4 linked regions of the Arabidopsis thaliana genome follow. The protein of the gene in region 4 interacts with the protein of the main gene of each other region in a pairwise test. Each region holds a gene or a part of one and is shown on either strand. Other genes may lie near its edges. The genes, in order: AT1G72210, MYB70, HB-2 and SWC2.

What was found.
Region 1: the proteins of SWC2 (region 4) and AT1G72210 interact in a two-hybrid assay, tested with the Arabidopsis thaliana proteins (one large-scale study listed by BioGRID).
Region 2: the proteins of SWC2 (region 4) and MYB70 interact in a two-hybrid assay, tested with the Arabidopsis thaliana proteins (one large-scale study listed by BioGRID).
Region 3: the proteins of SWC2 (region 4) and HB-2 interact in a two-hybrid assay, tested with the Arabidopsis thaliana proteins (one large-scale study listed by BioGRID).

What each region holds. Positions count from the first base shown.
Region 1 is NC_003070.9:27,177,576-27,183,322, reverse strand, and holds AT1G72210 (basic helix-loop-helix (bHLH) DNA-binding superfamily protein), read right to left. Parts: upstream 3,866-5,747; 5' UTR 3,258-3,865; coding exon 2,790-3,257; intron 2,255-2,789; coding exon 1,856-2,254; coding exon of another isoform or gene 1,793-1,855; exon of another isoform or gene 1,151-1,792; coding exon 1,055-1,150; 3' UTR 867-1,054; downstream 1-866.
Region 2 is NC_003071.7:9,903,609-9,907,998, forward strand, and holds MYB70 (myb domain protein 70), read right to left. Parts: upstream 2,425-4,390; 5' UTR 2,217-2,424; coding exon 1,287-2,216; 3' UTR 898-1,286; downstream 1-897.
Region 3 is NC_003075.7:9,446,861-9,451,702, reverse strand, and holds HB-2 (homeobox protein 2), read right to left. Parts: upstream 2,590-4,842; 5' UTR 2,413-2,589; coding exon 2,253-2,412; intron 2,150-2,252; coding exon 1,851-2,149; intron 1,583-1,850; coding exon 1,503-1,582; intron 1,415-1,502; coding exon 1,099-1,414; 3' UTR 798-1,098; downstream 1-797. UniProt on the Arabidopsis thaliana protein: Probable transcription factor involved in the negative regulation of cell elongation and specific cell proliferation processes such as lateral root formation and secondary growth of the vascular system.
Region 4 is NC_003071.7:15,405,745-15,411,978, forward strand, and holds SWC2 (DNA binding protein SWC2), read right to left. Parts: upstream 4,169-6,234; 5' UTR 3,945-4,168; intron 3,711-3,944; 5' UTR 3,687-3,710; coding exon 3,619-3,686; intron 3,481-3,618; coding exon 3,411-3,480; intron 3,234-3,410; coding exon 3,162-3,233; intron 3,060-3,161; coding exon 3,016-3,059; intron 2,932-3,015; coding exon 2,658-2,931; intron 2,557-2,657; coding exon 2,481-2,556; intron 2,408-2,480; coding exon 2,288-2,407; intron 2,195-2,287; coding exon 2,126-2,194; intron 2,027-2,125; coding exon 1,984-2,026; intron 1,769-1,983; coding exon 1,703-1,768; coding exon of another isoform or gene 1,627-1,702; exon of another isoform or gene 1,518-1,626; coding exon 1,322-1,517; 3' UTR 1,303-1,321; intron 1,227-1,302; 3' UTR 878-1,226; downstream 1-877. Other genes in the region: AT2G36730 (Pentatricopeptide repeat (PPR) superfamily protein), read right to left, coding at 1-829; UGT73C1 (UDP-glucosyl transferase 73C1), read right to left, coding at 4,787-6,234. UniProt on the Arabidopsis thaliana protein: Component of the SWR1 complex which mediates the ATP-dependent exchange of histone H2A for the H2A variant H2A.F/Z leading to transcriptional regulation of selected genes (e.g. FLC) by chromatin remodeling.

The sequences.
Region 1 (5,747 bases), on a different chromosome or scaffold from region 4:
GAAAAGAGGTCAATAATTCATCTACCAAGCTTTTCCAAATATGTAATATACCCCAAAATTTGACATTTAGTACTCGCATGGCTCCGTTGGTATATATTTATATAAAACTCCCTTTGTTTGTTTCGTAAATACATTTTCTCGAACAATATCAGTTTGAAAACTCAAGTGAGGCAGAAAATGTCAAAGTAGAATTATCGTTAAAGCGAATTCAACCCATTCGTTCAGTAAACAATCATGAGAAAGGTTGAAGTCATTTTTTCATGAGAAAGCATATACATATCACATTCATTCTTTTAATATATTCTCAGAATAATAATTATGAATAAGCTAAAGAGAATTTTCAATGTGTTTCTTTGGAAAGGGATCTCCCTTTTGCGAATGTGCAAATATAGTTTTAAACTATGTTTGCTTACCCAAAAACTAGTGGTGGATTGAGTCTGAAAAGTCTCTCCGATTAGAACTTAAGTGTTCTCCGACCCCAGACTAGATTATTATTTACGATCGTATATGTGGCCCTTTGCGGGTGTCTTAGATGTCATGGGTGTTCAAAACATCTGATTCAGACCATGAGAGTCTCATCAAACTTTTTTCTTAATTAGCGCATATTTAGACATTACTTCACAAAATATACTATTCTAACTAATTCCTTCTTAAACGAACCGTGCAAAGCCGGTTATTCACGATATACCGAGTCTTTTAGGGACGCCTTCACATGACTCATACCGGTATATTTATATAAGTGTGGTTGAATTTTTTTCAGCTATCTCATAACCAGTCAAATTGTTCAAGCCTTTTTTTTATGTGTGGGAAAATTCAATTGCTCAAGCTTATAATTACTATTCTCGTATAGAGCTCTTAAAAGCTAGTTCCTCTTTTGTGATCAGGTCTAAAAGGTCAATCACACAAAAACTCCAATATATAATGCATTAGAATTAACGTTAACAAAAAGAAAAAGGAAATTTATATTATTTAATATATGAAAAAGAGAGAGCAAAAGATCACACATGAAAAATTAGAGCTCCTCTAAATGTGCCATAACTAAAATTCAACAATACTAGCTAAAGGATGACTCTTCTTCGATCCTCCTTAGGATTTGATTCACAGCTGCTGCAATATCTTCTACTGTATTCAATTGGCTCCCTTCTTCAACCTGAATAAACCCATTATTTTAATATTTTCTTTTAAGTTACATGAAAAAGATTGATATATAGTCATTGAAAAGGTAAAAAGATGATTAAAGAAAATGTTTATATTTCGAGGAAGAAGCTTATGAATGTGTCCTGAAACAAGTGGCGTCATTTCGTTCTGCCGTGCACAGTGCATCCACAGTGTTGTGACCACCAAACATGCCCAGTACACATATATATATACACACATTCACACATGTGTAGGCATATGTCATCTTTTTGGTCCCTGATTCTTACAAGAATCAATATTATGATAGTACTCAAAATTTTGTCTTTTTTAATAAATAAGAAATGATGATTTTGACCCCCCAATAATTGAGGCCAGCCCTAACCAAGTAAAAAAGAACGAGAAAAAAGGAACGATTTTTATTTTTGTTCTTGGAAAACCTTTTTTGGCCCAGACAAATAATTCACAACATGTACTAATAAGAGACACATTAAATGCACAAAACATTTGTGATTGGAAAAACAATCAATGAATAATCATTGAACCAAAACCAACAATGGGAGTAATGATTAGTCACCCATTAATTATTAGATACCAATTTAATTTGAATTTGCAAATTCAACCCACTAACCCTAAACAACGGTATTATATAACATGATCACTCTAATCTGGTTAGGAAAAAAAAAACAAAAAATGGTGAAAAAGAGAGAAAAAAATGTACCTTGACGCTGATGGAATAGAGGACGGAGTCGTCTCGAGTTGTGACGTTTAGATGGAGAAGAGTGAGCCTTAGGCTCTGTATCGATGAGACCAGTTTAAGAAGCTGTCTCGGTCTCTTTTTCGCAAGTATTTTCAGACTCGCATGGCTCTCTACCATCGTTACCTCTATCTCCGCCATCCCCTCAGCCGCCGCCGCAGAGGTAGGCCGGTTCGAGTACTGAGGAAATGCAAAGAAATCCGAGAATGGTCCCGACGAACTAGCCGAGGTTGTTTTGGTCTGGTCGTGGCCGGCTCCGGTGTCTTCTGTGGCGGTCTTAACCGGAGGTTCCATTGATTGTAAATGATGCTCAAGCTCCTTTAAGTAGTTAATGGCTCCGCCTACTATCGATGCTTGATCTCCCTTTAACCACCACCAACCTTATGTTAGTCTAGCACATAGAAATTGCAAAAGGTTTTGCAAAAACAATCAAACATGTCTATATTTCGTACCTTAATTTTTTAAAAAATATATTATGTCACCATCTCATTATAAATCTATAATATGTATAGTCCTTTTTGGGTGCAATGATGTTCAAGACTTTATTTATGCTCCCACAATTCCACTAACAAAATTTTCATTTAGAGACTACATGATCTAATAAAATTATGAAAAAAAGAAATAACGACTTTCGTTTAGTTTTTATTTTTTGTCAATATATATAACGGCTTTCATTCATCTATCATCATTCTCAAATTTATATTTCAAAACATATAAACATACATGCATATGACATATCTATGTATAGCCTATGCATGTCCTAATTAGCTGAAAGCCTAGAACATAGGCTTTGCTTTTTTTTTTTTTTTTTGACACGTCAAGAAATACAGCTAAAGGACTGAATATTTCACGCGCTCACACTCACATATACATATAACTGTTGTATGTAGAGACTAACCCTTTGAGCATAATAAGGTGGCATGAGAGACCGGAGAACGGCGAGGTACTCGTTCATCTGTTTCCGGCGATTTCTTTCAACGGCGATGTGAGTCATCCTCTGGTTCTCGATCTCTTCTTTGTTCTTGCTACTCCTCGTCCTCCTCCTTTTCCTCCTCCCTCCTCCCGCCGCCACATCCGACGGTGGAGGCTGGCTCTCGGTGTCGACGGCAGATCCATAAGGAAGGTCTCGTGGCCATTGGAGATCCTCTTCGTTGTAATTATAATCATCACTATAATCTCCGGTTCTACCGTTGTAATTATTACTCGCAAAACCATGTCCTTGTCCTTGCCCTAGCTTAATGTTGTTCTTAGTATCTTGTGGATCTTGATCTTCTTCTTCTTGAAAGTATAAGTCGTAAAACGGAAAATCTTTGCAAGAGATGTAGGAGAACGGATCTTGCGGGTAAACTACAGCCTCCAAGGCCATAATTAGCTAGAAAATTGCTTGAAATATTAAAATTACACTTGAATATGAAAAGGTTTCCAGCGAGAGAGAAAAAGAGAGGAAAAAAAAAGAGGACAGAAAGTGTTTCTCTTTCTCTTTTTGTCTCGAGAGGGAGACAAGGCAAAAGGTAAAGACACTCTAGGGAAATTAAACTTGTAATTATCCCTCTACAAGAAAGAAAAAAAATCAACAGAAATTTGTTCTCAAAGAACTAAGTAAACTTGAAGAAGAAAAGACAAGAGAAGTACTCAAAAAAAGGTCAAACAAAGTTGTGGTTTGATCTATGGAATAGAGGAGAAGCTTGTGAGGTTATAAAGCTGATTTAACAATAGAAGGTCCGAAGAAAATCGAAACCAACTGAGTTCAGAAAAAGTAGAGATATAGAGAGAGAGAGATCGTGTATGTTTGGTTTTGCACGTGAGATTGTAGACCGGTCCACAAAACCAAAGAAAAGATTCTGTGTGTTTTTGCAGGCTTTGGGGTTCGTCTTGTTACACTCATGTTCGAAGAGAGAGAAATTATAACATGTTGAAATATCAACTTTATACGTTGCCATGAATTTAATATTTTTTTGCCGTATACCATGTGAGTCAAAATGTAATCTAATGAAAGCTATATCCCAAAATTTAGAGTGTTTGCGGTGATAATTATGTCGTCTATCCTCTTTTAGGTATTCAAACAATAATTTGCTTCTATTGTGCGTGTGTAACGCGTATTGATGGACAGGAAGAGGAAAGAGAGCTTGACATCAAAGTTTTTTTTTGTTTCTATGTATCAGCCGACGTCAAAGCTTTATAAATTCGAAATCTAAAGGCTTATTTATACGAGTATTTTTTCCCCGAACCATGCGGAGACAATGACCGCTGATTTATTCTTTTTATATGAAATCATATCGTTTATCACATAACCCTACCCGTAATGGAATAACCGTAAAAAAACATCAAGACCATGCATGGGTCCGAAAGCATATTGCCTTTATATAGATACAACTCTTGGAAATCACGATTTGTAGAGTAAAAAATAAATTTTAAATCAATAAATGTGCTTAATTAATTTTACAATCTATCAACTAGTTTTTGATTAGTAAATTTTGGCTTTTAAAGTAATAGAATCCTGATGACAACTTAGAGTAAATATTATAATTTCGTAGCAGTAACATTCGTTCAATAGTTTAAATTTTATATAGGAGAGAAATGTTGAGAGACAAAAAAAAAAGGAGAGAAATGTTGAGAAAATCATCTTCATCAATCATCATACATGATAAATGTTAATATATTAAATAAATAAATAAAAACAGAACAAAAATGTATTTTGAAGGAAATGAAATTTACTGTTAATGAATTTTCTAAAATAAACTTTTAGTTTGGGGCAAAGTGAATAATACTATAACTTGTTGGTCGTGCGATTGAATGCAATTACTCGGTGGTAAACTATTTTATACCGCCGAAAAATGGTTAATATATATATATATATATATATATATTGTCACAAAATTTATAGTAAAAAAAGAAATAATAGTAACAACAATATCATATAATTTGAAAATATGTGTTCTTTTTTTAAAACAAGATAATATTAGAAAACATTTAAAATATTAAGATTAGAAGACATTTAAAATATGTAAATTTGTCTTAAAAATATATTTTCAACTGTCTGGTTCCCATGTCTTTGATACTTAAAAACAACTGTTTAAAAAAAAAAAAAAAAAAAACTTACGTGGATATTGATTAAGAAACAGAAATTGAGAGATAAAAATTACTCGACTATGCAAGTTTCGAATGTTCGTAAAATGATGATGATCAAACCATATTCAACTCAAAAACCTGATCTTCCAATCTTGTACAAAAAGAATCCCTGATCTTCCAACTGATGATGGGAATTAAACACTCACATTTGCATTCAATCCACTTAGACGGACAAATTTGATCATAGAAAAAATTCACGGATAAAAATAAGAATAACATTTCGGCGTGTGGGGTAATGCTTTATTAATGTAATCATGTCATGCTTAAAACAAAGTATTCTTGATGTTGACATATGTAAGAATAAGAGACGATATCCCAACTTAATTTGTATATTAACTAGGTGGCATCTTTCCATTAGTCTAATTAATAATTATCGAACTTTTATGCGGTATAGAAGATGTGAGAATTAGATGGCTATGACACGACTTAGGGTTGCTGTGTAACAAAGTTGTTTGGTCGCTTTAACCAATAGAGGGAAGCAACAACTTAAATATGTGATGCAAAACGAAATCTAAGCGAAAAATCATTTGATCGAAACTCGAAAGAATCCCACTATTTAGAAACACGGTGGAAAATAAATCTAAGGCTATGATACTCTTGTCTCCTTTAAGTCCGTGTACCTCTAGTTTTTATTTGCGACATAAAAAGATACCATAATTTCAAAACCATCCAAGTAGTACTATAGTAGGCAAAAATAATATATAGTCCTAGGCTCCTAGCTAAATAA
Region 2 (4,390 bases), 5.5 Mb from region 4:
TAGCTCCGGAAATTGATTGCTTTGTTTAGTTTTTTTTCAGATTAATTATTCAGATTTTTCTTTTTATGCTTAGAACTTGGGAAAATCAAGAATTGGAAGAACCTCATTTGTTCTCTGTAGGAATATTCTTTTGTTAACTTATTGAAATTCATTTGATAATAATGTACAATGTAATATATATTGTAATTAATTTATTATTCTGATTATGTGAATGAATAACTGGATATTCATGTTTTTAATGAGTTTCAATAACAACATAGTTAAGCTCCAAATCCACAAAGCAAAAAGAAGCGACTTAACTTTAACCTTCTTCTGAGTGATAATCACCTAAGCTTACCTCTTTAACAGCTACATCCACTTCAACTTTAACCAAGAAATCGCGATTTCCGTGGAAATTGAAGTTAACCAATTCTTTAGATAGTTTCTGAAGGATGTTGTTCCGGATGGAGCTGTGGAAATTTGGCTTGGACAACAAGTTATACACATATCTAGTGCATATTTCTTCTCCATTATATAGGTAAACATTAGGAGCCTTACGTGCAAAGCAATTGAACCCATTTATGGACATCATCAAGCAGGAATTGATGCAAGTGTGACTCCTTGTTGTATTGTATGCCAAATTGTGAAAAGGAAGCATTAGTTGTAGCAGCTGCTATGGAGAAAGGTACCATACATCCTATTGGAAGGTATTTGCTTGTCAAACATCAGTAATCTTACACCGCTTGATAGTTATTAACACAATCAAACTCTTTCTTTTTTGCAGAGCCACAGTATTGGGAAGGACCTCCCTTGTGCTTTGAGTATTTCCCCGGTAGAGGCCTTACTGCTACAGTTAGTTGTATTGAGGTGATCTGTTCTACACTCTGTATCATTCATTGAATATCTATATATGATGTTGTCTCTCACACTATAACCTTTACTGCGATGCTATAGTCGGTAACCGAAGGTAACAAACTACGGAAATCGTCACTTGGTTCAGTAGAATTCATTACTTCACTCTTCGAATCGCAAGACCAGTCTAGAGAGATCAAGAATGCTGTAAACTCCTCTTTGTATGGAAATGACTTTGTTCATGCTCTTCTTTCACTTTATCAAAAGGTAACATTGATTCACCTCGAGGACCAGCCTCATCAACCCTTTTATAGACCAATTTCATTAAATCTAAGACATGTCATGATCAAAATCAATACATTTATTCAGTTTTTTTTTCGAATGAATCAAATCTCAAATCATGAAATTGGCTCTTTCTCTGCATTTGCTACACAATTCTTCTCTTTTCTCACTCACTACTCGATCCTACCTAATCCAATAAACTCTCTAAACCCTACATTACGACCATTAGTTCCTTGCACCATACACGAACTTGCTCCTCCTCCAGCTCCTCCGCCGTTTCCTAGCTGTAAATCCGCCATGTAACTCCTAACCTCCGTCTTAATCATCTCCTGCACCACCGTCATAAAATCTCCACCAAGTCCAGAAATCTCTCTTTCCTTCTCTTCTTCTTCTTCTCTCTTCACCGGAAACAACTCCGGTGGAGTTGTTGACTCATTGACCCAAGGCAAAGACAACCTCAAACAAGTCATCGGATCTTTCTCCTCCTCCTCCGGCGATGATGACTCAATCACCACTCCACCAGCTCTCGCCGTCGGTTTAAAAACATGACAAGAAGAAGAAACCGGTAAAACAGATCCACTAGATTGCGATTGCTCGCTGACGTCAGATCCCGTTGGACTTAACGCCGTCACCACAACAACTCCTCCTCCACCACTCGCCCTCCGTTTTAACGGTTTTTCATCAGTTAAATTACCATCATACCCTCCATTACCACCGAAATCACAACTCTGCCCTTCCTCTCCTCCGCCGCCTCCGCCGCTACATTTCCGCTTCAGCGTTGAGTTCCAGTGATTCTTAATCGCGTTATCAGTGCGACCATTGAGAAGCCGTGCAATCGTCGCCCACTTGTTACCAAACCGAGCGTGCGCTAGTATAATCGTATCATCTTCCTCCGCCGTGAATCCACGGTGCTCTACCTCCGGAGAAAGCTGATTACACCAACGGAGACGGCAAGATTTACCGGAACGTCCAGGGATTGATTTGCTTATCAGAGACCAGTTCCTTGGTCCGTGCTTCTGAACCAACGATTGTAACAGATCGTCTTCTTCAGGACTCCATGGTCCTTTGATCCGATCCATTTCTTTCCGGGTCGAACCAGACATCGCTCGGATCTTCTTTTTAATTTAAAACTAATCAAATCGTTTAAAACGCGTTTCTATTGTTTGGGGATTTTGGAAAAGAACGAAACGATTTTTGTTGAGAGGATAAGTATGAAGAGGAGAGAGTATTTATACGAGGTGTGATGGTTAGAGAGGTCACCGGTTCTACCGGTAATTTTTTATCGTTAGTTAACAACAACTTAATTTTTTCGTAACTGTAAATTGGATTATTTACGTGCATAATTATGTTTTCAACTGAATCAAATTGAAATAAGTTAACTGACACCAAATTAAATATGTAAGTATATGCCGTTTTGTTTTATTATTTTAAAATCCAGAAAACTGAAATTTAGTTTGAACCAAACAAAATAAACTCTAAACTAAAATTTATTAAAATATATACTATTAAACAAATTATTATGTAATGTTTTTTTAATGAATGTTAAATTATAACTAAACATGTACTGTATTTCTAACTATAACTAAACAAAGATATTAAACTAAAATCAAATCATATTACATCAAATTATAAATGCAAACCTTTTTCAAAAAATAAATTCAAATTAAAAATTCTTATATATTGTAGTTATGTAAAACTATTTAGAAAAACTACATATTTAAGTAATTTTGCGTAATTTCTAAATTGGATTAGTTATGAAGAAGATGTAACGTGAGTAGTCTGATACGTATTTGAATATTTAAAAGAGAAAGAAAAAAGCACGTCAGGGAGTGGCGGTGCGATTGGGGGAAATGCGTCTGAGAGAGTGAGGCTAAAATAAAGAGAGAATCTTTCCAAGAAAACGGTTGGGGATTTGGGAAACAGCTGTTAGTGGGGACAGCTGTCAACGAAATATGTAACTGTGTGTGATAGAGAGAGTACATTTTGTGGTACTTGAGAGCGTTTCACAGGTGGATCGTTTTTTTATTTAATTTAAATCATTTCGTTTTTAAGTTATTTCCTTTTTTAATTATCTTTTCTTTTTGCATTTTGAAGGTTACATTCTTTGTTTTTCCTTTGCATATCAGTGTTGGTATGGTCGAATTTTTGAAGATTTCTATTTAAACGTAATTAGATGCACATTAATTATCGTTGTCGTATCTAAAAACGTATTTAAGTTTTTTCGGTCGTTTTATTTGTCGGATTATAAAATCTTTAGTTTAGGTTGTGAAAGATTGACTCTTATCAAGACCGTCTTTACCCCATGGCAAATTAGGCAAATGCCATGGATCTATTACTGATTTTAAAAACAATCATAAGCATAAAAGGCCCAATTTTCTTAAAACAAAATTTTATTAAGAGATTTTAGTTTTTATTTTTATTTTGGCAAAGGCTCAATTATAGCTTGAGACGGGACTGTTTCTTATATCGATAGAAAGTAATTAATGTTATCTTTGGTTTGATCGCATATACTTAATAAATTTTATCCGTAGTTATTTCAAAATAAAGGATTTATTGATTCTGAAGACTAATGTTTTTTAAAGGGTTTGTGTTTAGTTGCTTATGATTTTAGTTGTTGGGTTCGGTCTCTTTCGATTTAAGTTTAAAAACTTTTGTTGGTATTTTCATTAGATTTAGAAAAAATTACGTTTTCCTTCGACTTTAATTATAAAATCATATATGTCGTGTGTCGTTTTAGTTTTTCTTTTTTGAACGTTGTATTTTGTATTGGTTTCACAACAAATTTAAGAATATTTTTATTTTTTATTTTGTTGTGTGAAAACACATTTTGTTTTCAATTTAAAAGCACTGAAACACAAACGTCGCTTTTTTCGAAATTGTATTTTGCGTATTGAATTGACGTATCTATACATATTAGAAACGTATAAGTAAAGTATCCATACTTATTGAGTGATTCCAGTTTCTTCTGTTTTTGTTTTTGATTTTCTGATTAAAAGAAAAATAAAACGAAGATAAGGATGACGTTAAAAGTGGTTTAGGTTTTTTGTTGGATTCTTCAGAGACTTTTCTGACTAAAGAAGCCAGCCTGTATGCCAATATTATTACTACTTTTTATATACAAAAATCAGTTATTTTGGATATTCAAAAAGATACTAATAAGATTCTTACGTAAATCGAAAACGACAGGATAGATCGATTAGAGTTTTGAGAGCCTATCGTTACTATTCATTGTTTGATATAAGCTAGTTTAACATGTCTAAAAGATTTATGTTGAAGT
Region 3 (4,842 bases), on a different chromosome or scaffold from region 4:
TGGTAATCATCATAAGGTTGTAATATTAAGGGGAACAAATATTTTTGTTACATTTATTCACCCACAAAAACAGGAATGGAGATCTATGTGAAGTATAAACAGATTGATACCCCTCTTTATGTTTCTAGATTTGAACATGATCATGAGATCATCTTTTTCGGGGTTTTTGTTCTTTGCGGCTAAAACGTTATAGATCAATGCTCCGATGAGAAGAGGCTACTCTCCAAAGAGAGTAAATCCGACACCAAGCTGCTTACATAGGAAAACATGAACCCTCATGCTCTTACCTTTTTAGCAAGACAATTAGTACAAATATTACTACTTCATGGCCTAGTATATCCTAAATACGTTAAACGTATCCAATCCTATTGATCATCTAGCATTTTCAACATCTCAGAGCAGTCCAATTCAACACCATTGAAAAATCAGAGTTTTAAATTTAACATGTAGTGGGGATAAGCACTTGCGTTAACCTTTCAAACCCAAGAAGTGGCCCATAGCCTAACCTACATGTTCAATAAGGCCTAAACTTTGCCCATACTCATGTATGACATATGGTAATCTCTTTCTCACTTATAGTTGTAATGGTAATGCCAGGAACACTTGGGCCCAAAGTATAAGTTTTAAGTTTTTAAGTTTAACAAAAAAAAAAAAAAAAAAAATCCTGGAAAAACTTTTAGAAATTTCAACTATTTTTAGCCCACTATTTAATATTTTTCACATAGCCACATGAAACAATTTGGACCATTTAATTTTCTTTTGCATTTCCTACATCAATTGTACTTCTTGGTTTGTGGCTACTCGCTAGACACTATAAATATTATTGCAATAAAGTTTCTTGTGATAGTTTTGTCCAAAATATTTATTGCAACAAAACAAAACAAAATGATTTCAAAGTCATAATATCTGATAGCATTGGCTCTAAATATTTGTTGTTACTTGTTAGCATGACACATATATGTTGGTTTAAGCTAGAAAAATATTAATCTGTTTTTCTTTCTTTCTAAGAAAATACATACATGTTAACAACTACATGCATATCTGGTCCATGAAACTTAAAAAACGACCAAAATGCCCTTTGGTTGCAAGTAAAAAGACTTAGGACCTAGGACGAAGAGCGTCAAAAGTCAAGCCGTGAGATATCCTCGTCGCAGGAGCCCACGCATTGACCGGCAACGACCGGTGGTGCGCTGACGTAGCAGCCTGAGGTTGTGGTGGCGGGACCGACACGTGTTCACATGAAGGGCACATGGTCAAAGTAGTGGGTGGGCTCATGTGCATGTAGAACTGAGGAGAGAGCTTAAGTGCTCTCAATTCCGTTACTTCTTTTTGTAGCCGACGGTTCTCTTCCGTTAGATTCTCGCAGCATCTCCGTAAGAACTCGCAGTCTACCTCCGTTTGCTTCAGCTTTGTTCTGTTAAACATTTACCAAAATACCCTTATAAGAAAATAGATAAATCAGGCAAATAGAGAGATCTTTTGTTTGTGTGTGTTTTATTTACCTTGCTCGTCTGTTCTGAAACCAAACTTCCACTTGTCTTGCTCGTAACCCTAATTGTTTAGCCAATGCTTGCTTCTGCTTCTGTGAAAAAAAGTTGAAAAAAACCTTGATATCAGTCTACATTTACCAAAATGCCATTTATAAATTAATATCTGCATTTATGAGAGACCGAAACAAATAGTAGTAGTAATGTTTTTTCTTTGGTCAACATGTAACAATAGTCATTTTAATGTGAATATTTCATTAACGCGTTCTTTTTTCGTTTCCACAATTTATCATAGCCATTAATTTTCCCAGTAAAACCAAACTTTCTCGGGTGAAACAATAAGTAAAAGAAGAAAAAAATTACCGGATTGAGAGTACTGTGATCTTTGAAGGTCTCTTCAAGAATAGCAGATTGATCTTTGGAAAGTCTAAGCTTTTTCCTGGAGTTATCACCATCTTCATCGTCACTGATTCCTCTTGAGCCTTGTGGATCTGTGTCTTCTTCTCTCTCGCTTCTTTTCCCTGTAGAGCTTGAGACTGTACTGTTAGGTGAAGATACTCCAGCGTCTTCGTCGCCGTATTCCGCTGTAGACGGTGGTCTGTTCACGTCGATTCCTCGGATGAAAGTTCTTGTTTCTTTTTGTGACGAATCTGAGTTTGGAACTGCATGCATAAGATTGAAAAGTAGAGTAAAAGGTGAGACCTTTAAGGTTTTTTCCGGGGAAAAATAAAAAAAAACAGAGGAACGAAGAAAGCGATGAAGTACCTGAAGAAGTAAAACTCTCGTTCCATGAAGATCTTCTGAATAATCCAAAAGAAGAAGAAGAAGGAGTAACAGAAACAGATGGATTTGATTTGAGATTGATCTGTTTCTTTGGAAAATTCAAGCCTAAGCTTAGACCCAGATCGTCTTTCTCGAACATCATCTTCTGTTGAACTTTCTCAAGATAAGAAAAAAAAACTCTGTTTTTGCAAATAAAGTTGTCTGCTTTTCTTTTGAGAGATAGAAGATGAGAAAGTAAAGGAAGAAGAAAGGTTAATATATAGAGAGGCAGAGAGAGAGAGAGATTTTGCAATCATGAGTATGTGACTAGCTGGGGGCAAAATAGTTATTATTATTAAAGTCAAGAATAAACTATTGAAAACTTTAGTTCAATGGAAATAATTTTATAATCACAAACTTTGCTTCTTTGTCCCCCTCTATATAACTCTCTCAAACCTAAACAAATTATCAAATCTAAGAAATTGTGATAAAATAATAATTATAGTCGCATCATTAATGATTAATGTTGATACTATATTAATGTTTATGTGACATCAATTTTCTCAGTCAAAGATGATTATCAAACTATCACTAATAGATAATTTTTAGGATATTCATAAGGCGAGAACAAAATCTAATCGTAGTTATCTTATTTTGCCTTTTGTTTACTTTTTTTTTGTTTTAAACATTTGGACTTATCACTTTTCGTTTTATTTCAACCAAATTTTCTGTTGTAGGTGATTGGTTAGATCGTTGAGTCGTGAGAATATATGACCTAGTCAAACAGAAATTTAGAAATCCTCTTTGACAATTATTGGAATTAGATCTTTCATTTTTCGATATATATCACTATCTGCAACTAATAAAGCATATAAATTAGTAAGTTACCATGAACAATTGCACATCCAACAATAGTAAAATCAAATTTTTATCATTTCCATGGAATTTATCAAATTTTAACTATGATTGACTTTATTTTATGAGATTATTAAAAGTGGGAATGATAATTTGATTGCTATTGTCGAGAAAGAGTAAAAAAAATGATTACCCTTCTTGATGACTCTAAAGGCCAAAGAGTCACGCTTGTTGCACACTTTAAAAACCTTTTACTTTTAAACATTAGTGATAAAGTTAATTAAAGAAGAACTAAACAAAAACGGTTGAATTGAATTCAAACTTCTTTTTATGAAAAAATTAAAGAATTCAAACTTCTTTTCAGATTTTCTTCTTCTAACGCATGGGTCGACCGCATGAGTTTTACTTTTGTCGTTGAACCACTTAATGACCAAAAACAGTACATTGTACCAGAATATAAAATACTACTATTTAAACTTATTAATAACTTATAATGATGTTTTCTTTTTCTTTTTGTTAACTTAATAGTGATGATGTTAATGAGGATGTTGAGAGAGTATCATCATATACCATAAGTCCATAAACTTATTTGTCTGAATGATTTTTGAGTTTTATTTGGTTTTATAAAAACTGATGTTTTGTATTATGATAACTTTCATTTCTCACCTATAACAAGTGTAAAAAAAGAAAATTAATTATTATTATTAAACTAATAAAATTAATTAAAAATGTAGAATTATGTGCATGTATAATAAAATTATTAAATCATGCATTGAGATAAACATGGGTTTCATTCGACTTTTTAAAATGAATAACATCATACATTAAGCATGGTTAGATGTTTTTGTAATGCTAAATCGTTGAATAATTTGTAAATCAAATGGTTACTTGTCAAATCATATAATTATTTCATATAGACCCATTTTGGTCATAAAGGTCGATTAATGAGCATCAAAATCGATTCCTTTTATTAGTTGCAACAAGATTTTTCTTGCCTTCAAATCCTTAAAGGAGATTAATTCAGCATTGACAGTGAAGGTCCCAGTGACACGCCAAAAGAAGAAATGATTATAGAGATTGAAAAGAAATTGACGGTCACCGATTAAACGTTGAGAAAACCAAAGGCTGAAATGACATCATACGGTTGAGAAACGTTTTCAGTGTTGTGCCCCACTTAATCCAGCTATATGCTTTGACAACCATCGAATATGATGAATGAATTGGATCAATATGATTGGAATCAGACACACAAACTTTTCGTCAATCTGATTTTCATAATCACTGTGGGTCCTTTTTATAGTCGTTTTTTTGTATGTGCAATAGAAATGGTCACATTCAAGCAAAGATATTGAAAGAAGTTTTTTTACTACGAAAAATATTTTCGCTAAATAAGTACATCTTTTTCTTTTTTTGGCGATTCTTTTTCTGTTCAAAGAAAAAAAAGAAGGATCTGACTAGTTGCTATAATTAGCTCAAATTTAAAGGGATTTTTTTTTTTTTTAATGTCCAATTCATCTTACTTTCCAGTTTCTATCAATCAGAATAAAATAAAATAAAAATCAACCGAATTATGCTTTTAAAGGTTTAAAATCAGATTGAGTTTTTTTTCTTCTATTTCCCACCAATCAGATCTCAAATGAAACTTTCTTTAAACAGAAATAACTGGAAAATATATATTTGTTACCATGAAATGAAAGGAAAACTTAAAAATAGTTTTTACAATATTTAGTTATTTAAC
Region 4 (6,234 bases):
TTTTGTCAACCATTCTTTCGAAAACTAACCTAGCATACTCTAATCCACCTGATTTTGCATACATGTCTACAAGTGCAGTACCTAGTCTACAGTTTAACTCTAACTCTCTTACCATCACCTGTGAATGCACCAATTTCCCCAAGCTCAAGTTACCGCCACAAGCCGAAAGCAAAACCACCATTGTCGTCTCATCTGGACAAAACCGCTTACCAATCATCTCACAAAAACACTCAAACACCAAATTTAACTTACCATTCTCAACAAGAGCAGTCATAATCGAGTTCCAAGAAACAACATTTCTCTCAGTCATTTCGTCGAACACCTTCCTGGCATCAGAAGTTTTCTTACAAGTACCATAAAGATGGATCAAATTGTTCCCAACATATACATCAAAATCAAACCCATGTTTCAAAACCTCAACTTGAATCTGTCTCCCAGCAGTGAGACCTAAAAACGAAGCACAAGCCTTGAGAAGAAAAGGAAAAGTGAGCTTATTAGGTTTGATTCCTCGTCTCTTCATCTCAGAGTAAACCCAAATCGATTCCACAGGAGAATCACTTGAAGAATAGCCTCTACTGAGCATATTCCAAGTAGAAGGAGTCGAATCTGAAGAGTGAAGCAGAAGGGTTCGCGCAAAGGCAAGGTCTTTGGCGAGGGATAGTGATGAAACCCGTACAAGCTCGCTGATGATAAAGCTGTCATTTTGGAGAGAGGAGAGATGGATTTGACCATGGATCTGTAGAAGGTGTTTAATTGAGGAACATAGCTTGAGGAAGATAAGACATTGGTGTTTCCTGGATTTGAAGCATGAATCTGAACTCCAAATCATTATGCCATTGGAGCTCTTAGAAATCGCAAAAAGTTTCAATTTTCAAATCGGTGATATATTTATAGATTTGGAACGGTTTTAACGGAACCGAAGTAAAATCAAAAGCTTATTCGGTTCGGTTTAATGTGAAATTGATATTTATCAACCAAAACATATCATCTTTACAAGGTCAGTAATATACAGAAGATTACACTTTCTCTCTGATTCTGAGATGGGTGTCAGAGGTTTTGGTTAGGAGGATCAATCTCTGATTAGAGTGTTGTTGTTTCCATTTCAAAGCTCTGATCATGAAAATTTCCTCCATGAATGTTCTTCTCGCTTCTAATCTCTGAGAACCAAAACCATGGTCGTGGGAAGATCCATGAATGATGTATCACAATCATGTGAGATGCAGATTCTGCAGAGCATGATTACAACTGTGAGTTCATGATCATGTTTCATGAAAACTAAAGGCTTTATATTAATATACTAACCAAATCAGGGAGGTGTTTATTAATCTGAATCTTCTTCACTCTCTTCTTCAGACTCGGAGCTAAGGAAACGAGCTGAGCTTCTGAGGGAAAATGATTTGTTACTCTTTGGAATCTTCGTTCTCTTTTGTTTTGTTGCAAAACCTTTCGCCACTAGTGTATCAAACAAATCTCCCATCTCCATTTTCTTTCTCAAACCATCATGTTCGTCCATGAACCTTCAGAACAATAAACATAAGACTGGGAAATATCAGATTCTAACACTAATAAAGACAATGTAAATATCAAAGGCCTGTTTCACTCGATAACATTCATTTGCTTGATCCGTTAGAGGAAACAACAGATGAATACTTCTATAGACAAGTGAAAACATCGATGCAGCAATAATTGGATCAAGCAACACCTTTCACGTATTGCTTTGAAGGCGTCTCTAGTTGCATAAGGAAGACCCGTTTTTGGATCCCGGTACCTGTATCAGCAATACACACAACAGCTAAGAACTAGTTCTAAAATTGCAGAGAAAAGATAATCAGGTTTCTAGGTTATAACATCATTTCTTTTCGAGAAGTATATATCAAAGAAACTGATAACTTCTTTTTAGTAGACCTAAGAGAGTCTACTTGTGTTCATCCCAGAGATCTTGTTCTTCCGATGAATAAAGAAGAAGAACAGAAAAACTCTTACTTGGCAGGTAATCCCGTAATCACACATACAGCTTTTTCTGGATCTGGAAAAGAGAAAACAAACCAAAAGAAAGACAGAGATCAGTATAGATCAATATGAACACATTTATGTTCATCTCCAAACACCACTCAAAATTACTTACAGGGAACAGACTTCGTCGACAACTCTGAATTGAATGACGCACCATTACAGAATTCTAAATAGTTACATCCTGCATGTAAAGTTAAAAGTTTAAACAAATATAGTTCTTACTTTTCTGGAAAGATCCAATTAGACTGGATTACTATTTTACTGGAGAGCTTACCATCTTTTGAATGATACCGAATCTGAGGACCCTTGTAGACTGCTTTATGCACAATCGCTTTCTTTTTTACTTCTTCTTCCCTTGCCAAGACACGTTCTAAATTCCTCAAGTTCATGATTTCTGCAAGAACCTGACTTTAGCAATTTTGAGTTTCTGATAGAGCAAATCAGATGCAGCATCATAAAAGCCAAACCTGTTTGAGCAGCTTCCAGCAGCATTTCTTCTTGGGTCATCCGTTTTTCCTCCCCTACTTTTTTCCTTTGTATTGGCTGAACAAACACAAAAAAGAATTCAACATGGCAAGACTTAGAAAAGAGATTAAAGTGTAGCCATGAATGTAAATAGCTAGTGGGGATGAGTTCTGAGAAACCTTTGTTGTTGCTTGTATAGCAGCACGCAATGCATCTCTTTCTGCTTGCCGTACAACCACTGAAGTCCGTGTTGATTTCCTAATGACTTTCTCACCTTCCATATCTTCTTGTGCTTCATTCTCTTCTTTTTCTTCTTGTTCCTTGTTTCCCAATTCTTCACCTGGCTTCTCATCTCCAGGAATATATTCTAGTTGTGAAACTACCTTCGTCTTCTTTTTCTTTTTCTTTGAAGCAGTTTTCCCAGGGTAAATCAGCCGCTTCTTTGGCAGATCCCTACAACAATATGCAAAATTGTAACAAAATTAAAACAGACACACATAATAGCCATCATAAGACAAGCTTTGAAAAAATTCAAACCTCAATTCTTTTTCATTTACAGCGACTGCATCAGGCTCAGGCTCCTAATCCCAAACAAAAGGCAAAAGAAAGAAATTAAAAAGAATGGAAATATAAGCAAAAACCTTGATGAATAAGTACTCAATACATAAGCAAGACATAAATACATCGTCATTGAAGTCACTGTCAAACTCATCAGCAACCTCACGTTCTGCTTCATATTCATCATCATGTTCTTCCTGCAGATAACAAAAGTAAAGAGATACATAAATGTCAGCAAACACACGAAAGTTTCTGCGATAGTATCTTGTCTACAAATCTGATTTTTTTCCATTATATATTTTGACATCTAGTCTACCTTAACAAATCATTAACATCTCTTTAAGAGAGTAAGCTATATATAAAACAAAACAAACCTCTTTAAGAGCTTCTTGATTCCAAAACTGTTCATCTTCTTCTACTTCGTCATCAAGCAACTTGGTCATCCTGAAAAAAAACAGAAAACTGATGAATAAAGCTTCCACAAGAGAGTTTCTGATACATCTCAATAACAGTGAGACAAAACCACAATCTTCAGGTGAAACACATTCATCAGGTAAAAGCTTAAGCTCAAGTAATTCTTACCGTTTACCCCGTGTTGCTCTTGTTGTACGGTCCAAGAACACCATTGGCTCTTCTTCATCGATTTCCATTGATAACTTGCTCAACTCTTACTTCTACAAGTTCACAAATTTAAACGAAAATGTCATAACACACAAATTAACAAATCAGCAAGGAACCCCCAAATTAGGGTTTCTCGCAATTTCAAGACTTTACGATTATATCGAGAGGGAAACAGGAACAAAAACCCAAAATTTGAGTGATGTACACAGTAATCGAAGAAGAGCCCATGAAAGCGAGAATGAAAAGTAATTTGTGTGATGAGCTTAAAATCTCGCTCGAGGAGTTACCTTCGGAAAATTTTAGGTTGGAGAAGTTTCTTCGACGAGCACACGTCTTCGCCGGCGACCGCCGCACCTCTTTGATTCACTCTTTCACACACGGTGCCGCTGGTTCGTACACCATTGTTATTGGACTTGAGATATTAATGGGCCTTCCACTTAGACATTTTCAAAGCCCATATTATATTAGAAGATTCTTTTTGTAAAATAAAACTTACAATGATAGACCGCTGGGGAAAAACGTTTTATTTTTATTTTTATTAATGACCTTGAGTAATTTCTTTTTACACTGGCATATATAAAATTTTAAATTAAATTTACGATGAAAAATCGTAACGTAAATAATACCAAAAAAGAAAGATGTTAAGATATATAAATCGGTTAACAAAATTGTCCAGAAATGGTAATATCATAGATAGATTTCAATTTTCAAGTCATGCATGATGTCATTTTGGATATAACACGAGTTGTCAACTTGTCATGATCGAGAAAGCAAAAGTAAACAAACAAAAAGTGTTTCTACACTCCTCTAAACTCCAAGGAGCAAGCAATATCGAAGTTGCGATCTCATGCAGGACCACTGGAGAAGGTTTCTACACTCTTCTAAAGCTACAGAAAAAAAAAAAGTATATAAGAAATTGTGTTTTTTTCTTCAATTTGAGTGTACGAATTCGAATGCTTAATAAGTATGTACTAACTAAGATGTTAGTATAAGATTCGATAATAGAGACAATTTCAAATAAAACTATCATAAATTGTTCTTGAACAAAGAGAAGTAATCGAGAACAAACGTCACAATCATTTTTTTTGGGTAATACAAAAGAAAAGTTACAATCTAAGAAAAGTTACAATCATTTCTTGGGTTGTTCTAATTGCATTATGTCTTGTAGCAAGAATGTGATGTTGGAATGAGAAGAGCCTCCTTCTTCCACAGCCTTGTGAGCTAATTCTCCAAGCTCTTTCACTCTTTTTCTTCTCTCCTTAGCATCATTACTATCACCCATCAATTCCTCCACTGCCTTCTTTACTCCTTCTTTATCCACCAGTACTCCTATTTTCTCCTCTTCTCCCCATCTCATGGACTCTTCAACCCCAGCTCTCACACCGGCTTTTAGTATCTGCACCGCCAATTTCTCATTGCAGAATTGGTCTCCAAACAGTGGCCACGTGAGTAATGGAACGCCTGAAGTGATTCCTTCAAGAGTAGAGTTCCATCCACAATGTGTCAAGAATCCTCCAACGGCAGGATGTGTAAGGATAAGCATTTGAGGCGACCATCCTGTTATGAGAAGGCCTCTTTCTTTGATTCTTTCCTTATAACCGCTCTCTGAGATCCATTCAAGTAACTCGTTATACTTCTCCCAACCTCTTATGACCCAAATGAAAGGTCTTTGGGATTCCTCGAGGCCTAAGCCGAGCTCTTTGAGCTGAGACAGAGGAAGATTGCATATACTTCCAAGGCAAACATATAGCACCGACCCTTCTTCTTTAGAATCAAGCCATTTAATACACTCGTCTTGATCAATGTCCGCCTTGTTTCCCCTCTCAGCTTGGTCTTCTCCTAACTTGTTGCACAAGGAAACCGGTCCGATGCTCCATATCTTACCCGCTTTAACCTTCTTGTAGTCTCTAACATAAGCTGGCTCGAGCTCTTCAAACGTGTTAACAATCACACCATAAGAAGTGTTATCCCCTTCTGTCATTCCGTCAAGGAAGTCTTTCCAATCTCCAGCAACTAATACCATTGGAAGCTGAGATTTTGTGAACTCAACTCTGTCAGGGAAATTAGGAATGGGGAAGTATTCCTTGTCAGACTCTATAGTTTCCAAGAACTCGTGGTTTTGGTGCATTATGTGCGTACAAAGAAGATTGAAGCAACACATGCCATGAAAGATGATTTTTGGTATACCAAGATTCTTGGCAATTCTGTTTGTATAAGGCAAACACATGTCAGCGATTATGCAGTTTGGCCTAGGTTGAATCTCTTTCAAGAGCTTCTCGACTGGTTCCTCGAGCAGGCTAAATGCTTTGAAGAAGGTTAATGAAGCCCCCAATGAATCGAGCAAGTCCAAATTCTCCTGTCCTTCCGGTGAACCCGATTCTTGAGATGGAAACTTTACTTGCACGAGATTGATGGGCAAGCCGGATTGGATAGCCCGGCTAAGAACGTTCTTGAACCGGCCTGCGTTTTGAGGTGTAGTGACAATGGTTATAGTCACCCCGCGCTGAGCCAGGAGCCTTGCAATATCTACCATTGGGATCATGTGGCCTTGAGCCATGAAAGGGAAGAGAACAAAAT